Linked DNA regions of Kluyveromyces lactis. The protein of the gene in region 3 purifies or fractionates together with the protein of the main gene of each other region. This does not show direct contact. Links are inferred from orthologs where the notes say so. Each region holds a gene or a part of one and is shown on either strand. Other genes may lie near its edges.

The links. The genes of interacting proteins can lie anywhere in the genome.
Region 1: the proteins of RPG1 (region 3) and SUI2 purify together in Saccharomyces cerevisiae (affinity purification with mass spectrometry, with the first as the bait; 4 studies listed by BioGRID). This does not show direct contact. The link is inferred for Kluyveromyces lactis from reciprocal best matches to the Saccharomyces cerevisiae genes RPG1 and SUI2.
Region 2: the proteins of RPG1 (region 3) and HCR1 purify together in Saccharomyces cerevisiae (affinity purification with mass spectrometry; 8 studies listed by BioGRID, with this or other methods). This does not show direct contact. The link is inferred for Kluyveromyces lactis from reciprocal best matches to the Saccharomyces cerevisiae genes RPG1 and HCR1.

The regions. Positions count from the first base shown.
Region 1 is NC_006037.1:1,020,467-1,023,053, reverse strand, and holds SUI2 (translation initiation factor eIF2 subunit alpha), read right to left. Parts: upstream 1,529-2,587; coding exon 620-1,528; downstream 1-619. Other genes in the region: KLLA0_A11792g (uncharacterized protein), read right to left, coding at 1,959-2,587. UniProt on the Saccharomyces cerevisiae protein: eIF-2 functions in the early steps of protein synthesis by forming a ternary complex with GTP and initiator tRNA. This complex binds to a 40S ribosomal subunit, followed by mRNA binding to form a 43S pre-initiation complex.
Region 2 is NC_006041.1:1,750,632-1,752,923, reverse strand, and holds HCR1 (translation initiation factor eIF3 core subunit j), read right to left. Parts: upstream 1,454-2,292; coding exon 620-1,453; downstream 1-619. Other genes in the region: DLD1 (D-lactate dehydrogenase), read right to left, coding at 1-57; PAR32 (Par32p), read left to right, coding at 2,147-2,292. UniProt on the Saccharomyces cerevisiae protein: Component of the eukaryotic translation initiation factor 3 (eIF-3) complex, which is involved in protein synthesis of a specialized repertoire of mRNAs and, together with other initiation factors, stimulates binding of mRNA and methionyl-tRNAi to the 40S ribosome.
Region 3 is NC_006039.1:1,266,817-1,270,416, forward strand, and holds the start of RPG1 (translation initiation factor eIF3 core subunit a), read right to left. Parts: upstream 2,372-3,600; coding exon 1-2,371. Other genes in the region: AAA family ATPase SEC18, read right to left, coding at 2,689-3,600.

The DNA of each region.
Region 1 (2,587 bases), on a different chromosome or scaffold from region 3:
ACTTATATCTGTCTATGTGTTTCCCTTTTTTTCTTATTATTTTCCTGGCCTAGCGATGAAATACCATACAGGATCCCAACTAGGCTGTGAATAAATGCAAATTACGTTGACGTTCGAATTAGTTTATTATACACGTTTAAATGAAATACCCGATGTGCTAATGTTACTACATAGAAGTTTCGTTTCGTTGTACTTTAAAGACTTTTCACTCTTTTTTCAAAATAAGGATTTATGGAGCTTCCCTTTATTATTATAAGAAGAAACTAGAAAAAAGGAAAATGGGAGTTTCCTAATGTAAAAATCCTTTAAAACGTCCAGTCGTAATCGAATGGAAAGGCTGACAGTAATTGGCAGATACCACCTGTTCAAATGCTAGAGTAGTTCTCTGCACAGTCAAGTGGAAACATAGGTTTATTACCTGAACATCTGTTAGAAAATGGCCTTTTGTTTTTGTTTCATCTTCATCAGTAAATATAATGCAATGTTAAGTGAAGTAAGAAATGGAGAGAGGACATGCAAAGACTTATAGGTATCGAAACGCTGTATACACGTATAACAACAGGAAGCAGTAGAAGTATATCTTTTTAATTCCTTTTTTTTTGGTTTCACTTTAAACCATCTATTCGTAATCGGAGTCTTCATCTTCGGAATCTGATCTACCTTCTAATTCCTTGGATTCTAATAGTGCTTGTAATTCAGCATCTTCAGTGGCGGTGACAGCCTTTGGAGCCATTGTGACATTACAGACACCATTGTACTTTAGAATGACTTCTTCGATCTTTGCGATAGCAGTTTCCAATAGTTGAACACCTTGATCTTTGTCCAAAGATTGGGTGGTGATGACGTACAATGGGGCAGCCACCAATTTGACTTTGATTTGCATTTGTTCAGTGGACAACTCTTCAGCAGATTTTAGGGCTTCTTTGATAGCATCAATACCCTCGTAACTGAAACATGAAACCTCGACATCTGCTCTGATCTTGACCGCTTGTGGGGTCAATCTTCTGGTGATTTGGCCCTTCAATTCTTGGAAAATTTCGTCGCTGATAGATTCAATACCATCCCAAACGTTAGGGTCCACAATGGACATCTTGTAGGCATCGTAAGCATGACCGTACTTTCGACTTAAAGGCCATGCATAAGCTTTGTACAAATCTTCCAATGATACTTGGTATTTCTCAGCACATTGTCTCAAGATGGAATGTACGGCCTTGGACTTTTGGTATCTTTCTTCACATTTGATGACATCTTCTGCAGAAACACGACGCTTAGACAAATCAATATAACCCTTCTCCTTATCCACTCTTAATACAACGACAACTTCATTCTTACCAACACGAATCAACTTTTGGATAGATCTAATACGTCTTCTTGACAATTCAGATAACAAAACCATACCTTCAATGTTGTCATATTCCAATAATCTAACGTAAGCACCCATTTCAGCGATTTGTTGGACGTTTACCATCACAACATCATCAACTTCAGGGAACTTGTTCTCGTAAAACCTACAATTGGAAGTGGACATCCTGCTCTGTATATCTAATGGCTCTGATGATAAATTCTTGTGTAATTTTTCAATTGGAAGATATACCACAAACTCAAAGAAAGTATACTCTGTTTGTAATCGTTATCTATCGCAAGATACAGATAAATTAAATTCCTCGGTATCAGAGACTGCTCGCGTAAGTTCGAAGCTTAATTGGAAACCTTTGTATACCGATATTGAAATTGCTTTGTTGCTTCAATATTGTATATGCTTTCCAATGATCAATCTTTTCAATTTTTTGATACTTCGCATCACAGTTTCGAAAAATTTTTAGATCTGCTCGTTAAGAGTGATGTACTACACGTGACCTAACTATTATAATTAAGTTTCATTACTTACTACTAATGGCCCTCAGGTATTAAGCTGCAGAGATACTAACTACCAGTAACCCATACTAGATGCGATCGTGCTAAGAAGCGCCAGAAGATTGATTTTTTAGCCTCGTTTTGATTGTTTTGATGTGTGCGAATCTGCGAGACCATGTAGAACAGTGTTCTGACGATACGGACTCGTGCCAAATTTGTGCGAATGTGTTTGCGACAGTACATAAATGCCTGACATACGCTGCGAGGCGCTGCCTATGCATGATTTTGAAGTGGGATGTAGAGAATATACCAGGAACTTCTTTTGCTCTGTAAATCTTCACCTTATAGAATTCACTCACAGAGTCTTTTTCATCTTTGCCGTTCCACATTGGTTTGATGACAAGGTTTATGAAATTGAATTGACTTTTGATTATGTCAAACGGGAACGAGTCCTGTTTTCGTTCATCGTAATATATGTTGATAAAGTTATTACCAACGTGTCTTTTTTTCATTGTTCGATCTGGATCTGCTTTGTCGTCGTTAGGCATTAGGGATACAGTATGGAACACGATTTGACATTTTTGATCATGCCAGATCAACGCGTACTCTCCATCTGTACCAGGATTCAAACCGCCGATGTAAAAAGTTTCATTTTGATCAAGTTTTATTATTGATCCGAGTTCGTTAACAAACCATTTGTATTGATGGGATCCATCCTCCATAGAGTGTGACA
Region 2 (2,292 bases), on a different chromosome or scaffold from region 3:
ACGTAGTTGCAGCGAACCACGCAAAGCAAAACCGGATCTTCCAACAAACCTGAACATTGAGTTGCGTTTCTGGTCTTTCTTGCACTTTGCGATAACAAGTACACAAAACAGCTGCTAAGTTACCAAGTTTCTCTACCAAGTTGTTACCTTATTATATAGTATATTGATATGCGGAATACAGACGGCGTTCGATTATACATATATATATATATATATATATAAGTACAAGTTCATAGCTGAGAAAAAAAAAAACAGTTCAAACGCGGAATAGGAACAATCATATACCGTCGACTCCACGACTTGGTTCATCCACCCTTGTTTTGATACATATCCGGCTTGCTCTCCTCTGGTCTTCTCTGGCTTTTCTTTGTTGCCGGATTTCCATGATGATTTTTCACTTCGTAGCGTGGGATGTAGCGTGGATCGGATCTTGTTGTACTGGTTTGAGGCAGCACTGGGCCAGTGGAGAGTCAAGAGCGCTCTCAGATTCGGTAGATGAGAGAGAGAAAGAGCGACCGGGCTAGCGAACAAGACTTGGGCAATATTAACAGTTCAATTGTTTACGTTCTATATATGATATGTGATGATGATATGTGATGAGATCTGTTTTTTTTTTCTATTACATGAAATCGTCTTCTCCGAAATCGTCAAAGTTATCGTTACCACCTAGGTCGAAATCGTTATCCTTCTTGAAGGCACCGCCGAGGTTAGCCCTAGTAGCCTTGGCCTTCTTCTTACCGGCACCGCCTGTGGCGGTGCCTCCCTTGACTTTGGCCAAACGAGCTTGTCTTTCTTCTCTTTCTTTATCCTTCATCAATACGTTCAATGTCGCAATGGTTTGTCTGATGTTTTCGACGGTCATTGGTTTGGAAATGTCTCTGATCAAGTCGATGGCTAGTCCACCAGAGTAGTTCAACAAGGATTTGTTGCTTGTCGAGGTGATTGCGGTAGCCAACGCTTTCCTTAATTCTTGGTAATCTTTTTTGGTTTCCAAATCCGAGAACAATGGGTGCGATTGGATTGGGGTATCCTTGGTCAACGCAGCAGGTTGGGCGACAGCTGCAAGCTGTTCTCTTTCACGTTCGGCGCGGGCTCTTGGATGTTCTTCTGCGACGCCAAGACCGCCGAAAAGGTCTGCAGCGTTGTTCAAATCAGATTCCAGTTCAGCCTTTCTCAATAGTTCTTTACGGGTCTTGTCGTCAAGAGTATCGATATCGAGCATGGTGTTCTTTGTAGCAGCTGGTGTAGCAGCTGGTGATGGAGAGGCTTTCTTTGGAGCCTTGGCTGCAGCTGCTGCTGCTGCCTTAGGCTTAGGTTTAGCAGTCTCCTCGTCCTCCCAGGACTCTAGTACCGGCTCATCGTCGTTTTCAGCGAACTCATCATCCCATGAATTCAACACTGGCTTCTCTTTGGAGCCACTTGGCACTGCAAAATCTTCGTCGTCCCAGGACATTGTTGATTGATAATTGATCTCGGTTAGGGTAGAGCTGCTGAAAGCAAGTGTTTATTGATTGTCCTCGTTACAAATTCTTGTCAAGATGCTTATGGGTGGCATTAAATTTCGATTTTTGGGTCTTTTGGGAGCTGTTACCCGGGGCAGTGGTCTTCCTTCCTCCGTCCCTCCCTTCTGCCGCAAAGACTGCTACGTCAAACCATCATATTGCATGTAGAACGAAAATACCCTGCTATAGACCACGATTTTTTGTCTATCCAGAGTTCCACTGGCACCATATAACATGTTAATGATCACTTCCCTTTTAATGGTACCCAATTGACGTATTCATATCCTGTTCTGCCCATTATGACGCTCCAAAATTAATTTATTTTTGATACCTATTTCTCAAAATTAAATAGTTACTTTTTCTGGCGTCACTCATGCACCAGGCTCCTCATCATCCCATACGACCTTCGGTCCCTTATCATCGATTCCTTGACCAACACACAATTAATGATCAACTCTCGATCCGAACCTTTTTTATATATACATGTCAGTATTGAAAACATAAAATGTGCATCCATTTAATAGTTGTTGGTCCAATCTAACCATTGTGATATAGGCTCGTGACAAGTGGACCTAATCTGGAATAGTTGTTTGGCAACGCAATAATAAAGAAAGTATCTTTGGGAGATTATTCAATATATCGGCATGGGTGAATATAGAGTAAGTACTGGAAGAGGAGGCGCAGGAAACATGATAACGTCGAACGAGAAACCTTCACCGAAGGTTGTGACACAGGGTTCCCAGACCCCCAATATACTATCGCCAATTTACTCTACGGGTCGCGGTGGTGC
Region 3 (3,600 bases):
TCTTTTCAGCGATAACAGATGACTTGTATTGGTTGAAAGTACTGTAGATTTTGTTCAAACGTTGATGTAGAGCCAATTTCTTTTCATAGTCGGCCTTGGAAGTCTCAATTAACTTCTTCTTGAAATTGTCGTAATTCTCTCTATCCCTCTTTTTTTGCTCTTCAGCGTCCTTTTCTAACAATGGCAATTCCATTTGTCTATAGGCTCTTTCCAGGTGATCTAACTTCTTGAAGGCATAGGTCATACGTTCAGTCAAATCCTTCTTGTTCTTGGCTACTTGTTCAATGACCATTTGGTTGATCTTATCACTTGTTAGGTTCTTGGCTTCCTTTGGATCAATATGAATGACACCATTGGCATTAGTTTCAGCAATCAACTTCTTCATTTCTTGTTCATGGATCGCTTCTCTCTCACGTTCCATCATTTCTTCAGCACGACGTTCCGCTTCTTTCTCCATAGAAGATTCAACAGCAGCCTTTTCCTCAGCCATACGTCTTTGCCTTTCTTCTAGAGCCTTCTTGGCAAGAATCTTGTTTTCTTCTTCGCTTCTCTTCTTGCGTTCAGCGTTACTCTTAGCTCTAATTTCAGCAGCTTCCTTTTCTAACTTGATAACTTCTTCCTTTCTTCTGATCAATTCTTCACGCACAAGTTTGACTCTGTAATAGTAAGAACCATTTTCGTATTCTTCGTTGGCCTTTAAGATCTTGGATAGATCAGTCAACTTAGAACGGACTTCTGAGTTACGAGTGAAGACTTGTTCATTCTGTTCCTCATCAGCATGCGTTTCTTGGGAGGTTTCCTCTTCGGATTCAGAGTTCTTTGCTTCATCAGAAGTGCTAGATTCGGGAACTTCAACAAGAGATGCTTGCCAAGCGTCAAATGGATCTTGGGCAAATGAAACGGTATCAGTTTCATGGTCAATGGAAATACTAACATAATCATCCATAGCAGCTTGGATTAAGTATTTTTCTAGTTCAAAAACAGATAATTCGAAAGGAGCTGGCAGTGACAACATTTCATGCAATTCAACTAAGTGAATAGATGTTTGAGCCTTTGAGACTTCAATGATGGATCTTCTGATGAATAGGTTTCTCAATGGAGCCACGTATTGGGCGAAATATGGCTTTTCAACCAAGTTTGGCAAAAGTGCAGACAATTGAGACTTAGCAGACTTCACATCGAAATTAGTTTCCAATATATTGAAGAATTTCAAAATATCAGCGTCAGCTTTCTCTACGACTTGTTGTTCACCAGCAGCAGTAATCAAATCCTTTCTCTTTGGTTTACTTTCAAGGTCTAGTAAGTCACATAGACGAATTTGAGGATCGAAACCAGCAATTGGTAAGTCATCCAATTGAATTGCCAAAGCGGACAAGACAAATTGAGATGAATAGAACTTAAAGTCTTCTTCGGAAGCATTTGGATTCTTCAAGTACAAATTGTAGAATTTTTCCCATGCAGCAGCGTGCAATAAATAGTTACCAGAGACAAAGAAGATCTTGGCCAAATTTTCGTAGTAGTTGGCCAACACAGAGGGCTTTGGAGCACGCTTCGAGAGACGCATCAAATGATGAACATCTTCAATGGATCTGAAAGCTTCATGCCATAATTCCAATTTAACAGAAACGTTAACTTGTTGGAAACGTTGGTCAGAATAACGTTGCAAAGTGTCAGGATCTGATAAATCGACAGTGTGGTGACCATATCTCTGTTGTTGGTAGTTTGCGGCATCCAAATGTTGACGTAACATTTCAGCTAAACGCTTGAATTCATTCTTACGGTTATATTTGTAACAGAATTGCATGGTTCTGTTAACAACACCCGCATACGTGATTTCCAATTGAGAATTATTTCTCAAGAAATCTAGAGTGGTACGGTAAGATTCCCAGGTAAATCTCAACCAAGCTGAAACATCATCATTGTTGAATCCACCAACAGTTTGTTCTTGTTCGTAAACAGAAACCAACAAATTTTCTGGGGTGACACCACCCTCTAGATCCTCTTCGGCTTGGTCCTTGTTGGATTCTTCTTTGGCATCAGTTTGCGCTTGGATGTTGGTCATCTTAGTTTCGATCAAATCGATGAATTTACGAGCAACAGCACCTACAGAAATCAAACCTTCGGGAGTGTGTTGCATATGCTTCTTGTATTGGTATAAACCTTCCTTGATCATTTTACCCTTCCTCAATTCAACACCAAGTTCCAAGAACTTGAAGATTATAGGTTCCAAAGTGGCAGCATCAGCAAAACGAGACCTTCTTGAAGATAATAAATCAAATAGAGATTGCAACGCAGCCATTGGCTCGCCAACAGAGACTAATTCGTCAGCTCTTCTAATGGCATTCTCAGGACGTAAAGCCGGTGGAGCCATGATGAAATGCTAGTATAATCGATGGGTCGAGAACGGTTGTTATCTACCCTTTCTAAATCAGAGACTAGATCCAAGTATATATCTTTATTTTGCAAGGTGCAATAGGAAGAAGTTTCACATAAATAGACTGAAAAGTTTTTTTTCACTTATTCTCTTTGATCTTCAACGGAAGCATGCTGAAAAATTTCAACCTTCATCAAAAGTTGATATCATTGAGAACGAAGTTGAAGTTTATGTGCTATGTCGCGAGTACATATCACATATGTATAATATATATATATATATAAATGTATCATATTAGAAATGAATAGTATAATTCAAGATGATTGCACCATTAGATCAACAAGTTCATTGACGGGATCCTCATCGTGTCTTGCTGTTTCAATGTTTGTGAGTACTTTTTTCACGCCGACGTTGAGAGTAGATGTAACTTGGGATAATTTGCGGATAACTTCGACTCTACCAGCATCGTCAAGAAATCCGGAATCTGTCATAATGTTATTCAGTTCATCTAGGTTTGATACGTTTGGGACAGCAATTTCGTTGTCGAAACAACTTAGTATATCCATTTGCTTAAGCACCGTGTAAGCGGACGTAGTAGAGATGATAAGCAAACGACGATTATTTGGAGGTTTTCTTTTCAAATAGACCTTGAGTACTTGTAGGATATTATTAGAGAACCTTGGACCAATTGGAACCCAGTCAACTAGAGTCTCTATCGAATCGATAACTAGAATGTTAAGTGGCGATTTGTAAGCATCTCTGAAGGTATTGTCGATGTATGCGATCTTGGCCGTTTCCGACATACCTGCTATTTCTTCAGGGGAAATTAATCTAACAAATGGGAACTCAGACTTCAATGCAATGGCGGCAGCTAAGGCAGTTTTTCCTGAACCTGGAGGACCATGCACTAGTAAGGATACTAGTCTTGATTTGTCTGACTCTCTCACTTGACGGACGTATCTAGCACCGTTTTTCAAAATGTCGTCTACGGAGTTGGAGAACCTAAAGACTCCACCTTCTACGCAAGTCTTCAAATCTTCTTCACTAACACCAAACGCAGGAGTCACTTCATCTAACGCATTCAAGAAATCTTGTCTAGTCACCTTCATGTTTGCAATGTCTTTGGTTTTTAGTTTGGTTGCCCCTTTTCCGATATTTACAGTCTTGTTGATTGCAAAAGAACTAGCACTCTTCACCAAACCCTCAATTTCAGCACCGGAGAAATT